Sus scrofa: one gene and its partners. The protein of the gene in region 1 purifies or fractionates together with the protein of each later gene. This does not show direct contact. Links are inferred from orthologs where the notes say so. Each region holds a gene or a part of one and is shown on either strand. Other genes may lie near its edges. The genes, in order: ARHGDIA, EZR and RHOC.

What was found.
Region 2: the proteins of ARHGDIA (region 1) and EZR purify together in Homo sapiens (co-purification; 3 studies listed by BioGRID and IntAct, with this or other methods). This does not show direct contact. The link is inferred for Sus scrofa from reciprocal best matches to the Homo sapiens genes ARHGDIA and EZR.
Region 3: the proteins of ARHGDIA (region 1) and RHOC purify together in Homo sapiens (affinity purification with mass spectrometry; 4 studies listed by BioGRID and IntAct, with this or other methods). This does not show direct contact. The link is inferred for Sus scrofa from reciprocal best matches to the Homo sapiens genes ARHGDIA and RHOC.

What each region holds. Positions count from the first base shown.
Region 1 is NC_010454.4:1,111,355-1,117,831, forward strand, and holds ARHGDIA (rho GDP-dissociation inhibitor 1), read left to right. Parts: upstream 1-2,040; 5' UTR 2,041-2,087; intron 2,088-2,319; exon of another isoform or gene 2,320-2,343; intron 2,344-2,417; exon of another isoform or gene 2,418-2,657; intron 2,658-3,506; exon of another isoform or gene 3,507-3,637; coding exon of another isoform or gene 3,638-3,682; coding exon 3,683-3,872; intron 3,873-3,977; coding exon 3,978-4,061; intron 4,062-4,288; coding exon 4,289-4,365; intron 4,366-4,444; coding exon 4,445-4,508; intron 4,509-4,603; coding exon 4,604-4,803; 3' UTR 4,804-5,962; downstream 5,963-6,477. UniProt on the Homo sapiens protein: Controls Rho proteins homeostasis. Regulates the GDP/GTP exchange reaction of the Rho proteins by inhibiting the dissociation of GDP from them, and the subsequent binding of GTP to them.
Region 2 is NC_010443.5:8,400,381-8,406,982, forward strand, and holds the start of EZR (ezrin), read left to right. Parts: upstream 1-2,981; 5' UTR 2,982-3,149; intron 3,150-4,106; 5' UTR 4,107-4,180; coding exon 4,181-4,192; intron 4,193-6,602. UniProt on the Homo sapiens protein: Probably involved in connections of major cytoskeletal structures to the plasma membrane. In epithelial cells, required for the formation of microvilli and membrane ruffles on the apical pole. Along with PLEKHG6, required for normal macropinocytosis.
Region 3 is NC_010446.5:107,730,243-107,736,712, forward strand, and holds the start of RHOC (rho-related GTP-binding protein RhoC), read left to right. Parts: upstream 1-2,659; 5' UTR 2,660-2,888; coding exon 2,889-2,907; intron 2,908-4,787; coding exon 4,788-4,951; intron 4,952-5,499; coding exon 5,500-5,620; intron 5,621-5,908; coding exon 5,909-6,039; intron 6,040-6,470. UniProt on the Homo sapiens protein: Regulates a signal transduction pathway linking plasma membrane receptors to the assembly of focal adhesions and actin stress fibers.

The DNA of each region.
Region 1 (6,477 bases):
GGTCCACTGGGCTTCTTAACCCCATTCTTACTACCTCGCGTGGGGGCTGCCCCCTTGTTCTGGTGCCCCTGTGGGCGCCCATCACATTGTACCAGACACGGTCTGTGTCGCCAGCAGGAGAGGCAGCAGTGGCGGCACGTCTGACACGACGCTGTGAGGGACACTAAGGCTGTGTCTTGAGCTTACTCTTGTTCTGAGGCCTCACTCGGGAGGGAGGCCGAAGGAAGCAGGGAACTGAATCCTCCTCCCCAAAGGGAGGACCCGAGCCTCCTGCCCACAGCGCAGGCATGAGCTTGAATTCCTGCAGATGTCCAAAGACCAAGTCCCTGGTTCCCAGCTTGACCACAGCCTCATACAAAACCCAAAGCCACAACTACCCTGCAGAGGGGCTCCCTGATCCTTGGACACTATGCAAAATAATAAAATTGGTCGTTTCAAGTGGCTAAATTTCATGGCCTGCTTTTACACAGCAACAGACGATGTATGTAAGAGCCTGGTATTTTTTTAAAAAGCACTTGGGGGAGTTCCCGGTGTGGGACCCAGCGAAAACAAATCCGACTAGGAACCATGAGGTTTTGGGTTCGATCCCTGGTCTCACTCAGGGGGATCCGGAGTTGCCCTGACCTGTGGTGTAGGTTGCAGACTAGGCTTGGATCCCGTGTTGCTGTGGCTGTGGTGTAGGCCAGCAGCTGTAGCTCTGATGTGACCCGCAGCCTGGGAACCTCCATATGCCACGGCTGCGGCCCTAAAAAAAGCGAGAGAAAAAAAAAAAAAAAAGAATAAATAGGAGTTCCCCTCGTGGCACAGTGGTTAACGAATCCGACTAGGAACCATGAGGTTGCGAGTTCGGTCCCTGCCCTCGCTCAGCGGGTTAAGGATCCGGCGTTGCCGTGAGCTGTGGTGTAGGTTGCAGACACGGCTGGGATCCTGCGTTGCTGTGGCTCTGGCATAGGCCGGTGGCTACAGCTCCAATTCAACCCCTAGCCTGGGAACCTCCATATGCCGCGGGAGCGGCCCAAAGAAATAGCAAAAAGACAAAAAAAAGACAAAAAAAAAAAAAAAAAAGAATAAATAAAGTAAAAGGCACTTGGGTTACTGGAAAGCAGTTTGGCAGCGAGGCAGGACGCCCGGCTCTGGCGTTGCAGCTTCCAGTAACAGGACGCCTGCGAAGCACATCCCAGGAACCAACCAGCTTGGAATGCTCTGCCTTTGGCCAGCTCAACTTTCTACACAGAAAGCTGACAGTATTCCCCAAACTGGCGCAAGTTGAGACATTTCCAAAAATACTAAGATCAGTATTTCGCAGTTCTATCGCTTCTACCGCCTAACAAGCCGATGCGCCATCCAGGTGAGCGTACGTGACCGCGCCGTGGAGCGGAGGGCTTGGACCCCACGCGGAGAGACGAGCGCTGGGGGCCCTCGGCAGCGCGGGCTCCATCCCGCCGGCCACAAATCACGCGCGCCCCCAGCCCCGGCGCTCCGGGTGGAGACCCCGGGGGACGGTGGCGGCTGAGCCAGGGGCTTCCGGAGTCACGAGCGGCACAGAGCCGCTCCCGATGCTGAGTTTCTCTTCGTGAAGGAGCGCTCCCGGCAGGGCGGCCAAACGCTGACGGGTCTGGAAAGGAAGGAAAGGCAGGGACGGCGCGCTGGTTTCGGGGACGGGGGCTGCCCGACTAGCGCGTCCCCGCGGTGTGACGGCTGCGTGCCCGAGAGACACGCCTGCGCCTCGCGTGCCACGCCCACCGTCCGCGAGCCACTGCCTCGCCCCTTTAGCTTGCGGGTTGACCCGCGGGGACGCCCCGGACCAGGAAACGCAGGTGCCAAAGGGCGCAGAACCCCAACCCTACCGGCCTCCACAGGGCTCCCCGCTCGCTGCCCACGCGGGACGCGCCCACAAGCCGGGATCTCAAGATGGCCGCGGCGCGCTCCCAGCAGCCCCCGCGCACGCATGCGCTCTCCGGAGCCCGCCCGGCGCGAGCGGAAGTCGCGTGATCCCGGAAGTGGCCGGCCGGGCGCGCGCGGGTGGGGCGGCGACGTTCGTCATTCCGTGCGGGAGGGAGCGCGAGAGCGGCGCGGTCGAGGCTCCGGTGAGCGCGGGCGGCGGGGCCGGCTGGTGCGGTGGGCTAGCGGGCGGGGCAGCCGCGGAGGGGGAGGCGGGGGGCCGCGCCTTTGTTCCCGCCGCCCGCCCCGCCCGCCCCGCCCTCCTGCCTGCCCACCCGAAGGGTCTGCGCTGGGCGGGGGCGGCGGTGACAGCGGGCGGCGGCCGGGGCGCCGGGGCAGCCCACGTGCGAATCGGGGACGCCGGAGGAGGGAGGCGGCGGCGAGGGAGCTGGAAGGCGAGAGGTGGGGGCGTAGGGGCCGGGGGCGGGAGCTGGGGATGCACAGAGGTGCAGGCCTCTTTTGTGGTCGCAGCTCGTGCTCAGCGGCTCCCTCCTCGCCGGTGCACGCCAGCCTGCTCCGGCCGGACGCCCACTCGCCTGAGCCGTGTGGCCCCCGCGCCCCACCCCGCGCGCCTGCCGCGCCCTGTCCAGATTGCGGGCCCTGCAGGAAGTGCGCGCCGCGCGATCGCACTTAGAGGATCCTGTCGCCTGCGGCCGCGCTTGAGTGGCGTTAGGGCGTGAGCTTTCTAGAGGAATTCCAGAGGAAGCGACTAGGAGGTCTGGAAATACGGGCCGGGCCCCACCCTGCCTTCGGCGGCCGGGTGGTTCCGGGTCCCCCGCGGCCCTTTGTGAGATCTTGTCCGCGCGCACATCCCGGCTTTGGCTGTCTTTACGGACAACGGCGGCCCTGACCCACCTCCCACACCACCGAGTCGGGTCCGAGCGGGTTTCAGATACTGCTCGGGGATTCCGGGGGGGGTATGCGATGGTCATTCTTAGTGAAAGAAGACCAGTGGCTGCCCTATGCACTGCTCCTCTCTTTGATGGCACTGCTGCGAGCTCTTCTGGGCGAGGATCCCGAAGGGGGCTCCTGAAATTCCCACACGTCTAGAGCAGTTTCCAAATTCTAGGTCTCTGAACCCTCACAGCTGGAGATAAGGTTGGCAGACATTTAGGGTCCCTCGTCCATTTCAGGATTTATCTGTGCGACTCAGGCTAGCCCTGTCATCTGAGCCTTAGGAGAGCCTTGTGTTTGTAGGGTGAGAAAGAACTAACTTGTAGCCTGCACAGACATTTAGGACAGGCCTGAAGGAACAGACCGATCAGCAATAGTCAGTAGGAGGGATCTCTTGAGGTGAGCCCCTGGGCGATTCAGGACAAGCAGCAGGACTTGGTCCTGACCCTGCTAGGTAGGTCTGGGGTGCTGCTGCTTCCTGGAAGCAGGGGAGCTGTCCCTGGTCTTTGCAAGGGGCAGGCTGGGGCCTCTCTAGCCCTGGATACTGTGGACCTGGAATTGGGTCCCCTGAGGTGGGCAGGATGAGGAGGTGAAGGTGGCCCTTCTGGGCCTCGGGAGACTGTTTCCGGGCCCTTTTCGACGTTCTGGCTGTCATGGCCTTCCTGTTACAGAGGATGCGCCTGCTCTTGGGCCCACATGGAGGCTTGGCCACCTGTGGAGGAAGATCCAACACTGATCACCAGTGGGACCTGCAGAAGGGCTAGAAGGGGCGACGCTGGGTTCCTCCAGGCTGCCACAGCCCATGCCACCCTGCCCACAGGTGTCCCAGACCCCGCTAGAAGAGAGCATGGCTGAGCAGGAGCCCACCGCCGAGCAGCTGGCACAGATTGCAGCTGAGAACGAGGAGGACGAGCACTCGGTCAACTACAAGCCCCCGGCCCAGAAGAGCATCCAGGAGATCCAGGAGCTGGACAAGGACGACGAGAGTTTGCGCAAGTACAAGGAGGCCCTGTTGGGCCGCGTGGCCGTGTCTGCTGGTGAGTGGACAGGAGCGCGGGTACCCGTGGCTTTCCTGGGTGTCTGCCGCTATTTACCCCCCCCCCCCCCCCCCCGCAGAATTCTAACTTGCGATCACTTTGCAGACCCCAACGTCCCCAATGTCGTGGTGACCCGCCTGACCCTGGTGTGTAGCACTGCCCCAGGGCCTCTAGAGCTGGACCTGACAGGTGAGTGGCCTCTCCGAGGTTCCTGGCTGGGGCCGCAGCGGTCGGCTGCTTCCGCTAAAAATAGTTTCTCGGGCTGCTGGCGCCCTCTGCTGGGGAGCACAAGAAGTGCAGCCGAGTCCTCTTACAGGGGTTGTGGCTTTTCCAGTCTTGCGTCTGGGGTGCCCAGGATGGTGGGAGGTGACTTCCTTTGGGTGAACTTCCTAGCATGGTCTTTCTCTCAAATTCAGGAGATCTGGAGAGTTTCAAGAAGCAATCCTTTGTGCTGAAGGAGGGTGTGGAATACCGGATAAAGATCTCTTTCCGGGTAAGGCGCCGGCGTCGGGGAGGTGCGGGGCCTGGGTGGGAAAGCCTCGCTGAGCCCTGCTCGGGGTGCCTCCCTGCAGGTGAACCGAGAGATCGTGTCGGGCATGAAGTACATCCAGCACACGTACAGGAAGGGGGTCAAGAGTGAGTGAGCGGGGCCCCCAGCCCCCAGGAGGGAGGGAGACCCGGGGGGTGGGGAGCAGAGCTGCCTCCTGACGGCTGTGTTCCCTGCATCGCAGTCGACAAGACCGATTACATGGTGGGGAGCTACGGGCCCCGGGCGGAGGAGTATGAGTTCCTGACGCCCATGGAGGAGGCGCCCAAGGGCATGCTGGCTCGAGGCAGCTACAGCATCAAGTCGCGCTTCACAGACGACGACAGGACCGACCACCTGTCCTGGGAGTGGAACCTCACCATCAAGAAGGAGTGGAAGGACTGAGCTGCGGCCGGAGGGAGGCGGGCAGGGCGGCCGAGGTCGAGGACGTGCCCCCCCACCCCCCCCATCCCCCGGACCCCAGACCAAAGTGCCGCCAGGGCCACCCACACTGCCGCCTCTCCCCGTCTGCCTCCTGGCCGCCCGCCCCTCCACCCTTCCAGCCCGCAGACCCAGCCGCCTCGGTGGTCTAGTGTCGTTGCTGCTTCCGCCTGTGCTGGGGGGGGTGGGCTCCTCCCAGGCCTTGTCTCCCCTTCGGTGTCCTCGAAGTCCCCACCTTCCTGACCCGACCCGAGGCCCTGGCTTCCCCCAGGAGAGTCGGGCATCGCGTGGGAGCTCTGGGTGCCCGGGTCCCTGGGCCTCCAGTCGCCCTGGCTCCCACCGTGGCCCCCTTCCCGGCGGGGGCGGGCTGTACCGCGTAGGGCCTGGCGGGGCCGGTTGTCCTCCCGCTTTCACTTCTCCCCGGTCAGTCCATCCACCGCTGTCAGTGACCGTCTAACCATGATGCCTTAACATGTGAACGCGTGCTGGGGGGGCGGCCCTAACCTCTAACCCCGTGTCTGCATGAGCATGTGGTCTCCCCCGGTCCCTGCCCTGTCCGCGCTCCCTGTGGCCCGGGGAGGTGTGTGGGGTGTGCTGCTCCCCAGTCTGCCCGGGCCTGGCCGGCCCCCTTCCCCGGCCAGCGCTGTGGGACGGCTCCTGGGGCTCGGGAAAGCCAAATTGCCAAAACTCCAGTGGCTTCCACTCCCATCTGGGAGGCTGGGTGTCCTCCCGCCTCTGCCTTCTCTGGCCCGTGGGCAGTGCCTGGAGCCCAGGCCCCGGCAGAGGGCCCTTGGCCGACGGAGCCAGTGGCCAAGCCTTACTTGTCCCACCTGGGCCTGCCGGCCTCGAGTCGCCTGCCTGGCCTGTCAGTATTTCTTGCCTCCATACGTGCCGTCCTCTGGGCCCACTGGCCTGCCGCCTTGCCCCCAGGCTTGGTGCCACCATCCCCAGCCAGGCCCTTCCTGGACCCAGCCAGGACAACTGTGGGACCAAGCTTGCACAGCTGGAGCCGTCCCCTCTGCCGCCCCCACACCCCCTCCCTGGTCAGGCCCCTGGCCTAGAACGCACAGGAGCCTGTCCCTGCTTCTCCTTTTCTGACCGGGAAATAAACTCCCCCTAAGGAGCCAGGGTGTCTGCTACTCGTCTCCCAAAGGGGAAGGGAGGGGGGGGGTGACTCCAGGGCACCCACGGGGTGGCCAGGGGCCAGGAGCAGTGGCTGCTGCTGCTGCGGCTGTTGAAAGAGGCTGGGTTTAAAATCTTTTCTCGGTCACAGCAGCCCGTGAGGCCAGTGCTGCCGTGAGGCTTGGCAGGTCCTGCGGGGGATGTGGGTGCAGGCAGGCCCTGGGCCCATTGCGTGTCCACTGCCCCAAGCGGGCCCCTGCACCACGGTCGCCAGCGCTGTCCGAGCCTTCAGAGGAAACACTTCCAGCCCCAAAGGAGAGGGACCTGGTTGGAGAGTCCACAGCAGACGCAGGGCTTGAGGTGGGAGGTCAGGGTCCCACGGGTATCAGGGACTCCAAGCTGGGCCGGAGGGCGGAGGGGACGTTGGCACCATGCAGAGCAGGGCCGATGGAGAGGGCGCTGTGGGACAGGCAGGGCCAGGGCCCAGAGGTGGGTCAGCGGGAGGAGATGGGGACC
Region 2 (6,602 bases), on another chromosome or scaffold:
CTCTTTCACCCGCTGTCCCGAATTTTCACCCAAGGTTATTGAGTCCTGCAAGATAACACAAATCTTTGTTTTGCCAATAGTGCTCTATATATTTCCCTATTGACTGTTCTTTGGAAGCGACAGAGGCTCAGACTGTCATGCTATTTGTGAGCTTTTTTCTTGGTTGAGATTAGCCTGGCACCAGCATGGAGATAGGTTCCAAGGTGACCCGCCGTCCAGCCTACAATCAGGGGATGCTGACATTCTGGGCAGACAGTCCTCATCCTTGCCTGTGTCCCAAGCTGCCAGGAGGGCTGCCTAACTCACCTTTGTGTACACTGGTCTGAAGAACTCCAAGCAATTTGCCAGCAGCCTTTCACCTGGGCTCATGGGTAGACATATGATTTCCCTCCTCCCGCTGAAACCCTGAAATGAGGTGTGAGTTGTTCAAGGTTGATAGTTAGTCTAAACAAGAGCAGGGATGGGATCTAAGCTTCCTGGCTCCAGGTGTCTTCACTTCCTTCCAGGCACTGATAGCATACGTGAGCAAGGCCATGACTTACAAAATGAGGGAATAAGCTCACAAAAGAAGGGTGAAGGGTGAGGCAAGGTGAGTAGCATTGGCCAAGTCCTACCACACCTGGCACCCGTGTTCTCCAATCTCGAGTACCTCAGGCTCACCTGGAGACTTGTTACAGACGGAGGCTTATGGACTTCTAAGTCCTAGAGGGGCATCCACGAGTGATTCTAATGCACCCTGACTCAGTACCATCATCCTAAGCGACTCATAAATTCCTTGGAGTTCATCTTCTGTGTGTTGGGAGGACAGCAGTTGGGAGAGGCTTAGATTCTAAGGTCAGGGGAAAATAAATTACCCTTGGCAAATCCTTTTAAAACACTCGTACAGTATAAATGTTTTTGCGAGGGAATAAAAACCTACATAGTAGCACGTAGTATAAGGTGTAATGCTTTCAGGAACGTAAGACATGAGGAATGCATATTTTAAATGACTACTATGTAAACTTATGCAAGAAAAGCAGACCTAGAAGTTGCATTTGAGTAAGTTGAGAACTCACATTATATGGTTCTGTGACACCAGAACACCATGATATGTCTATTATTATCTCTGTTCTGCGGACGGGGAGGTGGGAGCTCAGTGGAATTAAGAGACTTGCTCAAAGTAACCAGCTTGTAAGCACTGGAACTAGGATTCAGATCTAGCTCTGTGTGCTTCTGAAACCTGCGATCTTTTCATTTTTATGGCATTGCCACAGGCCATTTCATTTTGCAGCATGCCCCTGAAGGGTAAAGTGCAGAAATGCTCCAGAAGTCCTGGGCTACTGCTATTTCCAACACTCAGTTAAGCTTATATACTATAAACTAGGCGAGATTAAAAAAAAATTAGATTAGTGGCATATCCCGCTGCCGAGTTGGGGACCCAAAATGGCTAACAAGACTCCAGGCAGCGATAAGAAGAGGAGATAGAGTGCGTTACGAATGACATGTCCAACCTGGGCCTTTTTGATCGTGGGTTAACTATCTTTCATAGCTTCCTTCCTAATGCAGTTCCCTTTACCTTTTCATTTTCAAAAAGAAAGTCAGTTTTTCAGGAGAAGCAGACTTGCCCAAATAGTGTGCCACCAAATCTCCGTCTCCAAGAGGCTTCCCTACTCCACCCCCCCCCCCGACTTCTGAAAGACCCCGGACCTGTAGGAGGAAGGGGGGTGGTCAGAGGTGACAAGGAGTACCTCAGAACCCTGGGACAGGTTAGCTATTACTAGGGGCCAAAACTGTGCTAAACACTTTGCATGTATTATCTCATTTAATCCCTACAAGTCCGTTTCGGGGCTGCTGTTTTATCTCTAGTCTACAAATTGGAAAACGAGTCTTCGAGTTTGGTGCTTTGCCCAAAGGGACTCGTTAATCTCTGTCCCAGGATTGATGTGAGGGCTTACCATGCGCCAGGCACTGTTCTAGGCATTGTATAGGTAGGTATTAACTCCTTTAATCCTCAAAACAAGCCTATGAAATAGGTGCCGTAATGATGCCATTTTACAGATGTGAAAGTGTTAAATAACTCTAACTCATCAAGGAGTTAAAGAACTCACTCAACTCAAACGGAGTTAGTGGTGAGCCCAGGAAAGCAATTCAGGACAGTCCCTGGTCTCAGCCTTTAGCCTGCAACGCAAACACCTGGAGGCCTGAAGTTTTTCCGACCCGCTGGGCCCCAGCCCTAGAGTTTCTGATTCCGGAGGTTTCGGGGCAGTACCTGTGAATTTCCATTTTGCAAGTTCCCAGGTGAAGCTGTTACTTAACTACTAGTCTGGGAAGCGTGCTTTGAAAACCACTGCTCTAGAGGCAGCCTGCTTAATCCCTGAGCAACAAATCCTGTTGGCCACCAAAGTGCGTGTGCGTGTGTAACTATGTCCTCTTGAGAACCATTTGCAAAAAAAATAGTTGAAATAATTCCTAGAATTTTTCCCTATGGAGATTTTTTTTCCCCCATAAGCTTGTACTAGTCAAATCAAACCAGGCCACAAATGTGTCCATTGACCAGACCCTACAATGGTTGTGTCCTCCACCGAATCCCAGAGTGGGGGCGGCCACGTGCGCGGGGACACAGCGGCTAGGTCCCAGTTTCTCAGAATCCCTCTTAGGTCCCGGCGCAAGGACAGCAAAATGACCTGACCACGGAGGCAGCCCCACTCCAAAAGGCCCAGCACCTCGCCGGTGGCCGTGGGCTCCTCCAGGCTTATTTACATTTTCCCGGCCTCCCTCGGTCCTTTACGGAACAAGCTCACACTTTACATCTACCCCCAGGAGCTGAGTCAGATTCGGCAAAGTTCTTCTCCAAGCGCCAGGGGACCGGCAGGGAGAGGGGGAAGGTCTCTCGAGGCCCAGAGGCAGCCGGGCGGGTGGGAGGCGGAGGCGCCCCTCGCCGCGTCTCGGGGGCCCCCGGGGCGGCGGGCGGGGCGAGGGGCGGGGGCGGCGGCGGGCGGCGGCCGCGGCCATCTTGCGCGCGAGGCGCACCTCGCAGGTCGGGAGGGCGGGGCCGTCAGGGGCGCGGCCCCGGGACCCCGCCCCGCCAGGGACTCTCGGGAGCGCGGCCGCGGGCGCACTGCACGGCGCACAGGCGGCGGGAGCGCAGCGGTCCTCTGCAGGAGCCGCGGGTGAGCGGGGCGTGCGGCCGGGGGTTGGCGGGCGGGCGGCTCGCCCTCCCCGGGAGGGGTCAGTGGCTGGAACTCCACGCAGGTGTGGCGGCCGCGTCCGGGGAGGGGCGGCCGGCGCGCGAGCCCCGGGCTGGTGGTCCGCGAGGGGAGCCATGCCCGCCCGGCCACCAGCCGGGCTCGGCGTCCTGGGCTCTCGAACGGGCAGGGTCCTGAGCGCGCGCTTCCTCTGCGGCCCAGATACCCAGCAGGTGAAGCTTCACCTGCCCGCGTGGCCGCCCCGGCTGCTCCGCGACCTTCCTCTTTACACTTTGCCCCTTCGGGTCCCTCTCCCAAAGTGCCCGCGGAGCCCGGGCTGCGCCGCTTGCCGGCCCGGGCGGCCCTCGCCGTTCCCGGGCGGGGACAGTTTTTAAAAAATGTTTCTCAAAGGCTTGAAGGTTGCGGTTTCAGCCCTGGAGCAAACGGTTGCTTCACGAAGTGAAACTTGCTGTCGGTCTCCTGGGCTCCCCGCTGGCTTCCTGGAGGCCGGGAGGAGTCCCTCGGCCGCCCCCCGCCCCGGCTCCCTCGCCGCGGGTTCCTGCGGCCCCTCCCCGCCGCACCCCCCGCCCTCCCCTCCCCCCAGTCGCCCCCCCCGCCCTCCCCTCCCCCCCAGTCGCCCCCCTCCCCCCCAGTCGCCCCCTCCCCTCTCCCCCCCTCTTCCCCCCCTCCCCTCCTTTCCCCCCCTCCTCTCTCCCCCCTCCCCTCTCCTCCTCCCCTCCCCCCCGTCGCCCCCCGCCCTCCCCCTCCGCGCAAGTCCCGCCCGCCCGGCCCGTGGTAATTGCAGGTTGGGCGGTGACTCATCCCGGCGCCCGCCCGGCCGGTTCTTAAGCAGCAGCGCGGGGCGGGCGCCGAGTCCCGGGCGCGGCGGCGGGAGCAGGAGGCGGGCGGCTCTGCTCTAAAGGGGGTTTCCTCTGCCTGCAGGTCGGGAGAACCGTTTCAGCTGCTGCTGGAGATTGTGTTTCCAGGGATTGCGGAAAACCCATCAGGAACCGAAAATGCCGAAACCAGTACGTAACCCAGTTTCTGGGCTGGGTCGGATGCTTCGGGCTTTATTTTCAAGTAGAATTAGCCGGGCGAGGTTTGGGGGCAGTTTTTTGTAGAATAGGGTTCTTTGCTAAACGGATGAGAAGGCGGGGGTGGGGAGTTGTGTCCTCTCTTTTCATGTGTTGGTCCTTTGTGAAATGCTTGGCGAAAACAAGATTATGATCCGTTTCTCCACCGTCTTTTTGTTTGCGACACCCCGACCCGTAAAAATTGGAATCCCCTTTGCGGCTTTGTTTAAAAACAGCATTCTAATGCAACTTGGAAGTTTCTTGAAAACTTGTCTAAATCCCAGGGAGAGTCAGGTGGCTTCCGACGGAGCGCGCCAATTCCGAGTCCCTTCAAGTGTCTGGAAACAGATGCACCGGCTCTTTGGCGCTTTGAAGGGCATCTGGCAGAGAAGACGCGGTCTTTCTGGGGGCAGCTTCGTTCCAGTCCATTTTACGACCGGCCCGTGAAGCTGTGCTCTGTTAACTCGGGAATTTGCTGGTGGCAGCAGGATTCCTATCTCTGAAAGAGGTTTAGTAATGAACTTGAATTGCAGATGGAGTTAGGCAGCCCTGGAGTTCCTTTGATAAGGAGGCTGCTGGCCTCTCCAGTCCTGCACTCCTGGCCCACATCATAAACATCAGCTGACTGGGGTGCTGCTCCCCTCACCGCTGTCCCCTTGAATCTGATTACCTTGCCTTCTCGGGTAGATGGCTGGCAGGCTGGGGTTTTATGGCTTCTGTTTAAGTTATGGGAATAAAACAGGTTTTCTTCATAACCAGCATTTCTTAGAAAGTTATATTCTACCAGCTTTAACACAGGTGAATTGGTGACTCGATGTTGGGGAGAAAGTTTTTGAGTTTTGAATCATGGAGAGAATATCTGGATTCATTGAAAATGGCAGTAAAAGGTACCTATGGAATTTATTTCCAGTCCCACAAACAGGTTGGTTCTGTAGTCAGTGCTTATTGTGTTTTTCTGTCATTAAGTTTTAGACTGAAAAGGAGTTCTCTATTAATCGAGTCTTACTTACTGTTAGGTTAAGTAAATTACTGCAGTAACATGCCAGAAGATTCAGAAACCAGTAGGGTTTTTGCCTAAGTTACATCACCAAGATGATTCATTTATGATGCAGAAAAATTTTTTCCTACACAGGATTCTTCTTTTCTGAACAAATTTGCAGGCAGCCCAAAGGACATAATTCCAATTCCAGTGACATAAAATAGATCTAAACACAAGGCCTTGCTCGGGGCACAGCCCTGGGCGGTGTTCTGCAGAGCCGTGGTCAGAGATTACCTTTCCTGGTGTGGTGTGGTTTTCTTTATTTCACTGGAAGAAAAGATGCAAAGTTCAGCTTTTAAAATACCGCTCAGAAAAGAGTCAGTAAACCTATTTCCTGTCACTACTTTTTTATTTCTGTGATTTCTTGTATTCTCTCACTAATTTTTTTTGGTAGTACAATTTACATAACACACAGCTTCCCATCTTAATTATTCTCAAGTGTACGGTTCAGTTGTGTGTACGTTCCAGTTGTATGTCCATCACCACCCCCGCCTCCCGAACCTTTTCATCTCCCCAGACTGCACCTCAAAAGCTGACTTCCCATTTCCCCCTCCCTCCAGCTCCTGGCCACCACCCCTCCACTTGGTGTCTCCTGTCTCCTCCAGGTCCCTCCTGTACCTAAGATCACTCGTATGTGTCCTTTTGTGACTGGTTCCTTTCGCTTAGCACGGTGTCCTCCTGGTTGATCCATGTTGTACTCTGTGTCAGAATGTCCTTTTTTAAGGGTCTTTTTATTTCTTAGGGCAGGCATGTTTTCATTTGGCTTTAATGGTCTTTCACGATGGATCAGAAACTTAGAAAATACTCTCCTGCCAAAGCAAAGACAGCTGTTGAACTGCTAAGGAAGGGCAGTAGCCATCCTTCCCTTGTGACATTCTGGTATGTTAAGGTCCCAACAACCAGAGTGAGGTTTTGAAAGATACTTTATGTAACATTTACAGTTGATTTCCAAGTGGTAATGGGAGGTCGTCTTTTCTGTAAGCCACAGCTGTTTACCATGGAAATTTCCACCTGGTGGGGGAGGGCTTGAAGAGTTTGCCTCAAAAAAATGAATAGACTTAAGTCTTTCTCCACGTGAACCGAATGAGGGCCACCCCACAGCAGAGAGGAGCCTTTACCAGCGGAGGCGCGAGAACTTCCAGGGCTGTTGGAGAGAGTCTCGTTCTTGGGATGGTGGTTTGCTCCCTCTCTAGATGTTGATGCTGAAGCATCACCAACGAGCTCTGGACCTGTGTCCTTTGAACAAAGCGTTATTGATTGCTGCCGTTCAAGCCGAAACTGAGTTTTGTTAGGTGGTTTCCTGTGATGTTCAATGCCCGACTGAGG
Region 3 (6,470 bases), on another chromosome or scaffold:
TCCTGAACACTTCACCTATCCTTCCACAGTCCACACACGCCCCCACTACAGTGCTTACCTCCTGTACTAAAACTGTCTCTATAAGGAGCTGGTACAGAATAACAGTTAAGAGCAGGAGCTTGAGAGTCCTGATGTTTGGGTCCTGGTGCCAAACCCATTACTAGGTCTGCCGTCTCTCTGAGCATGACGAAAGGAGTTCACGTATGCGGAGCCAGGTCCATGTAACAAGAGTTCAAAAGCCATGAGCTATCTTTAAGTTGTCTGCATTCTGAATTTAGATTGTACCTTCTTTGAAGGCAGAAATCGACCTCAACTGAGCACATAGCTCAATTTATTGAGTCAGCTAAGAGGCCTGGGGACCACACAGCTCTGGACCTCAGTTTCCTCATTTAGCAAATATATGAGTTGCTTTTCAGATCTTTAAGGTATGCTTGACTTCTAACATTCATTCATTCATTCATTGATTCATTCAGCAAAGATCTGTTGAAAACCTATTTACGTGCCACACACTGTGCCAGACAGGAGAGGCATAGATTGGAGGATCACAGTAGGCAACTGGGAGAGGGACCAGCTTGGAGCCAGACAGGGCTGACCAGGAAGTGCTTGCTCTGCCACATACAAATGGCAAATTTTGGGCAAGCCGCTTAACTTCCTTGAGCCTCAGTTTCCTTACAGGCAAAAGGGGATGGATATACTTATTCCGAAGATTTGTGATGAATGTTAAAAGCTATGTATTGTACGATCCCAAGCTAATAAAATGTGAGTAGACTTCCTCATCTTCCACCCACCTCCTCAGGCACCTTTCAGGGAAGGAAATACACCTGTTGGTAAACACCCGGTGCACAAGTCGAACCCGGCTAGGTGTCCCTAACAGCACAGAAATAATACAGTGGGGGCGAGAACTGAATTCAAAGCTGGGGATCCGGAAGGATTTCCAGGACTGCCTTTTGAGGGATGGGTAGGAGTTGGAAACTCCAGGCAGGGAGAAACGAAGGGAACTGGGAGGTGGAACCAGGTGCCTTGAATCTCAAAGGTTCTGAAAAGTCTCCAAGGCTAGAGGATGATAGTGGACTGTACTTACTCCGCAGTGATTCTAGGAACAGAGGGTGGGCATCTTCCGCGGCCCTCTCCTCGGGCGTCCCCAAAGACTCCTTTCTAGTCCCGCGAAGCCCCGGGTGGTGTAGACGCGGGTGGCCAGTTGGCCACAGGAGGGCAGCAGCGGCCCTTTCCTGACTCCACCCCGAGCGCCTCTCAACTTTCCCGATACCGGTTCTCCCCTAGGAGCTGGAAGGCGGGGCAGAGGCAGAGTCCTTCAGGGTCCCGTCGGCTGTGCCCCGCCGCCCACGCCTCCACAGCCTGGGCCTCTTTCCCGAGCCCCCGGCCGGCACCCGGGACCGCCCCCCCACCCCGGCCCCCGCGGCCTGCGCTCAGCGACCCGCGGGGGCGGGGGGCGGGCGGAGCCTAGGGCCGCCCGGCCCGCCCCTCCCCCTGCGGGCCCGCCCCTCCCGCGAGTCGCCCCTCCCGCCGCGGCGAAGAAGGAGGGCGGGGCGGTGCCCCTCGGGTCAGTCTGCCTCCGGCACCGGCCGCGCAGCTGGGAGCGGTGGAGCGGAAGGTACCTCGGGTTAGGGCTGGGGGCGGCGGGGTTGTCCTGGGAACTCGTCCCCGGCAGAGCACTTTCCCCCTTCTCCGCTTGGCCGGAGCTCGGGGCGCCGGCCGGGGAGGAGGGGCTTTGGCCCGAGTACGGGCCGCCTGCCCTCCCCTTGGACGCGGCGCCTGGGCGGCGCGGGGGTCGGCCGGGCTCGGCCCCTCCCTGCCCTCCTGGGCCGCCGTGAGGCGCCCCGGGAATTGCCCCGCAGGGCCTGTCGTCTCTTGGTGTCCAAGCCGGAGTCCCTTGCCTTCCCCTCCCGACTTCCCGGAACCTGCCCGGCCGGGCGAGGGGAAATGGGGCAACTTGGGTCTCTGCGAGGAAGCCCCAGGCCAGACGCTCTAGTTTCCAGGCCCGGCGGCCCGCTGTGGACCGGGGCTGGGGTGTGGGTCCCGGTCCGAGTCCGGATGGAGGAGGGAATTCCCCTCGCCGGGCTGGTGGAGTGGCGGGAATAGGGGCTGGGTGTGACCGTGGGGGCGGCCACTGTTCCGGGGGTCTGGCCGTCGCCCTAGATGGTTTCTGGAGTCGGCCTGGAGTGGGAGGTAGGGGAGATTGGGAAGGATCCAGCTCGTGCGTGTGTGTGTGAGTTCAAGAATCTCCTCCCTTCCAACCCCCCCACCCGCCTTCACACTTCCCAACCCGGCTAGAGAGTGTCCTGGGGGTTTGGGCTGGAGGCCCCAAGGCTGAGTCCTGCCATCACTTCTAGTTTTCACGTTCAGGAGGACGTATCTGATTTCTTCCCTGGACCTCAGGGGTGGCCAGCAGGGTACTGCAGCCCCTGGTTCATCTGGGAATCTACAGGATGGAGGAGAGGGCAGCTGTTTAGTCCCAAGGAAGGCCCCAGGAGTTCAGGTTCCATTCCAGTCCAGTGTGGGGTTTGGTTGCCTCTCTGAGGGTCAGTGGGGCAGTTCTTCAGGGGCCGCCTCTCACAGGGAGCTGTTGTCCTTGCCATCTTGGCCTTGGGCCTGGTGGCCTGGGCCAACTACTCTACTGAGCTTGAAGGGAAAGTCTTATGATTGAGCTGGGGGCTCCAGGTAATTTAATGCATGCTCTTGCCCCGGAGTTCTGGCCTCTGCCCCCCACCATCTGGTGCCACCTAAACTGTCCTGCTGGGGGTGGGCAGTGGCACATTCATGCCTAAGCAACTGGCAGTCACCCCAGTGGTGAATGCCCTCCAGCCCTCCATCAGCAGGGCCCTGCCCGGGTTGGGGCCACCCCAGCCTGTTTTCCCACCGCTGGACCAATGGAACTTGTGGGAGCAGGTAAGCGAGTTTTGGTCACCTGGGTAGAGTTTCCAGGGACACTCCCCCCTTTTCTGAAGGATGGTTTCCATTTTTGGAAGGGATCTGCTGGCAGGGTGAATGCCTTCTTGTTTGTCTTTTGGGGTGTCAGGGGGAGCCCCTGTTGTGGTGGGGAGAGTGGCTGTGCACTCTCAACTCCTATAAATTCCCTCTGACTCATATCCACTTCCCCTCATCCCAGTTGTGTGTGTGTGTGTGTGTGTGTTTGTGTAGGGGAGGGAGGCCACCCAGGATCCCACTGTGGAAGAAAACTTGTCTTGGGCTGGGATATTCGCCTCTTAAAAGACAGACCAAGGCAGGGGTGTGAAGTGATGCTGGTGTGGGGAGAGTGAAGGAGTTGAGTCTAGAACGACAGGATGTGGGACTGAGAGAAAAAGCCAGGTTTGGGGCAGAGATCGGGTTACCATCTCCTCCTTTCTTAACTGCTCCCTGCCTGGTTGGTGCTGGGACTCATTTGTCTCTTTTTTGGGGCTCCTCCCAGCACTGACTCTAGCCGCCCCCCCCAGCAGCCTCGACTTCATCTCAGCTCCAGAGCCCGCCCTCTCTTCCTCCCAGGCCTCAGCCTGGGAACTCCAGCCGGCTGGAGGTCGGCTCCTCTCCCCAGGGAAGGAGGAAGTGAGGCTCAGCTCAGGGGCAGGGAAGCTAGGAAGGTGTGATGAACTGTGCAGATGCTCTTTGGTGTGTGTCGGGGGCGGGAGACACTGGAAACCCCGGGAAGCTGACTCCTTGCCCTGAGTCACAGGGAGGGGTGGGCAGGGCCTTGGGGTGAGCTGGACAGAGGGGAGGAAGGGGCTGTTCCAGGGAGTGGGTGGAGGTGATTCCCTAGTGGATTATTCTCAGTCCCTCTGCTGTGGTAGATGTGTGGCTCCCTACAGTGTGGTCATTGTCCCCTGCCTGGGGCTGAGTGACCCAGTGTTGCTGCCAGGCCCAGGAGGAAGGGGGGAGGAAGGCAGGCTGCCCGAATGTGGGCTGTGGGCACTGCCCAGACTGAGCCTCCTTTGTGTGCCTTGGGGCTCTGGGGACCAGGATGGGGTGGGCCAGGGACACCGGCTGGCTGCTGCCACTGCCCTCCATCCGTCTGCTCTCCTTCCCACCTCTGGGGTGATATGTAGAGAAGGCAGCAGACTAGTGTCTCCTGCCCTGCTTTGACTGCCATCACTGCCACGGCTCCATACACATTGTCTTAAACCTTCTGAGCCACACTTTCCTAGTTTGTCAAAATGGGAAGCCCACTTTCAACCTTCCAGGCTTCTGGGGGCTGAGGGAGGTGATTTTTGTCAGTGCGCCCCCCCATAGTGCCTGGCACCCAGGGGCGTGGTAAATATTCCTTCCCTACCCACCCATATTGGTGGGGACTCTTGGTTTTTCTCTGGGCACGCATGACTGTGCTGAGTGAGGGACAGTGTGTTCTAGATTGGACATTTGAGATAATTAAATTTGAAAAGTATCAAGATCCTGGTAACAAATAAGTCTGACTTGATACCCTGCTATGTAGAGCAAATAAAAGCTGCTGCTTCAGACACCTGTCTAGGTGTCCAGGGGCCCACACTTGGTGAGTGGATTAGATTAGAACTCATGTTTTCTGGCTCCCAAGTGGGTGGTTCTTCCACCTCCCACTTCTGTGTTCTAACCCATGGGGGCAGGTCTGTCTCTGACCCTGAGATTAAGAATTTCAAGCTCAGTTGCTTCAACAATTGGTTCTTGGCAAGAAGGTGCCTGAGCAAAAAGCCCCTCTCCCTCCCTTCCTTCCGTGGTTTCCAGGGAGGTCTTGGGGGGCCCTAGAGACGTGTTTTTGGACTTCGTGGCTTTCCCCAACATCCCCACTGCCTCTTCTTTGCTAGCCCCAGCCATGGCTGCCATCCGAAAGAAGCTAGTGATTGTGGGGGACGGGGCCTGTGGGAAGACCTGTCTCCTCATCGTCTTCAGCAAGGATCAGTTCCCAGAGGTCTACGTCCCCACCGTCTTTGAGAACTACATCGCAGACATCGAGGTGGACGGCAAGCAGGTAAAGGCCAGGAGCCTCTGCTCATCGCGCCTCGGCACCCCGCCCCCAGCACTTAGGAGCCTGGGATGGCCCTCCTCTCCCCCGACCCACACCCTTGCTCCCCTCTCCCGGCTGAAAGCAGTGAAGTGAGGAAGTGCAACTGCCGTCCCTGGAAATCCAGCCTCCTGGTTCTTTACACATGCGCTCTAACCTGGGCCCAGTCCCTTGGTCTCTGGGCTTGAGCCCTGACCCCACCCCAACTATAAAATGGGAATAACAGTAGGGCCTCTTTCAAAGAGTTTCAGTGAAGATGAAATAAAACAGTGGTGCTCACAATGGCAGTTCACACTGCACAAAGACCAAACACATTGTCTCAGGGTTGAACTCACCTTATGTTGTGTGGCTGGGATGAGGACTATCCCTTGCATGTAGTAGGTGCTCAGTAGGTGCCCAGTGAACCTAAAGGACCAGGATTTCAGAGAGGACACCTGGGTGGCAGGGCGTGCGGGGGTGTGCCTGGGGCGTGCCTGGGGCCCTCAGGCTAGCGAAGCACTGGCCCTGTGTGTCAGGTGGAGCTGGCCCTGTGGGACACAGCAGGGCAGGAAGACTATGATCGCCTGCGGCCTCTCTCCTACCCGGACACTGACGTCATCCTCATGTGCTTCTCCATTGACAGCCCCGACAGTCTGGGTGAGCTTGTTGGAGGGACGGGATTGAGAATCCCTTTGAATCCACCAGTGGGAGGGAGCTCCTGCCTTGGTTCATTTGAACCCTTTTCGGAGGCTGGGGGGAGGTGCCGGGGAGCCCCTTGGCCTCCTCCTGTGGTTACTATGGCCTTTAGAGGACTTGGGAGGGTGTGTGCTGTGAGGGAGAGGGGTTTTGAGCTGTGAAAGGGGCTGCCTTGGGGAGACAGGGGGCCCTGGGGAGCCCTCTAGCCTAAGTGGGGGCACTGACCCCTGTCGGGATGTGTCTGCACAGAAAACATCCCTGAGAAGTGGACCCCGGAAGTGAAGCACTTCTGCCCCAATGTGCCCATCATCCTAGTGGGAAATAAGAAGGACCTGAGGCAAGATGAGCACACACGGAGGGAGCTGGCCAAGATGAAGCAGGTGAGTGTGGCTGCCAGGCAGAGGAGGAAGGACCCCCGTGAGGGCTGACAGGCTGGTAAAGAAGCCTTCTCCTGTTGACTCCCTGTGACTTCCTACCCCCTGTGTCGACACCATGGTGAGGGAGGGAGAACCAAACGGGCCCTAGTGTCTGAGCCAGTATATGATGAAACTGTCAGAGGACAAAGTGACCTGTCCAAGGGCACTTGGCAGCTTATCCATTGCCCACTGTTTGATGTTGGGGCTAGAAAGATGAATCAGAAAATCTCTGCCCTCAGGGAGCTGGCTTCTTACAATAAAGGTTTGCTTGGGATATGCAGGTAGAGCCACCTAAATACACCTGGGAGGTATGGGCTGAGGTGGATGCAGGACGAGGGCATTGAGTGGCTGGAACAAGGGCAGAGTGGGGGAGCTACCTTATTTGGGGTCCCGGT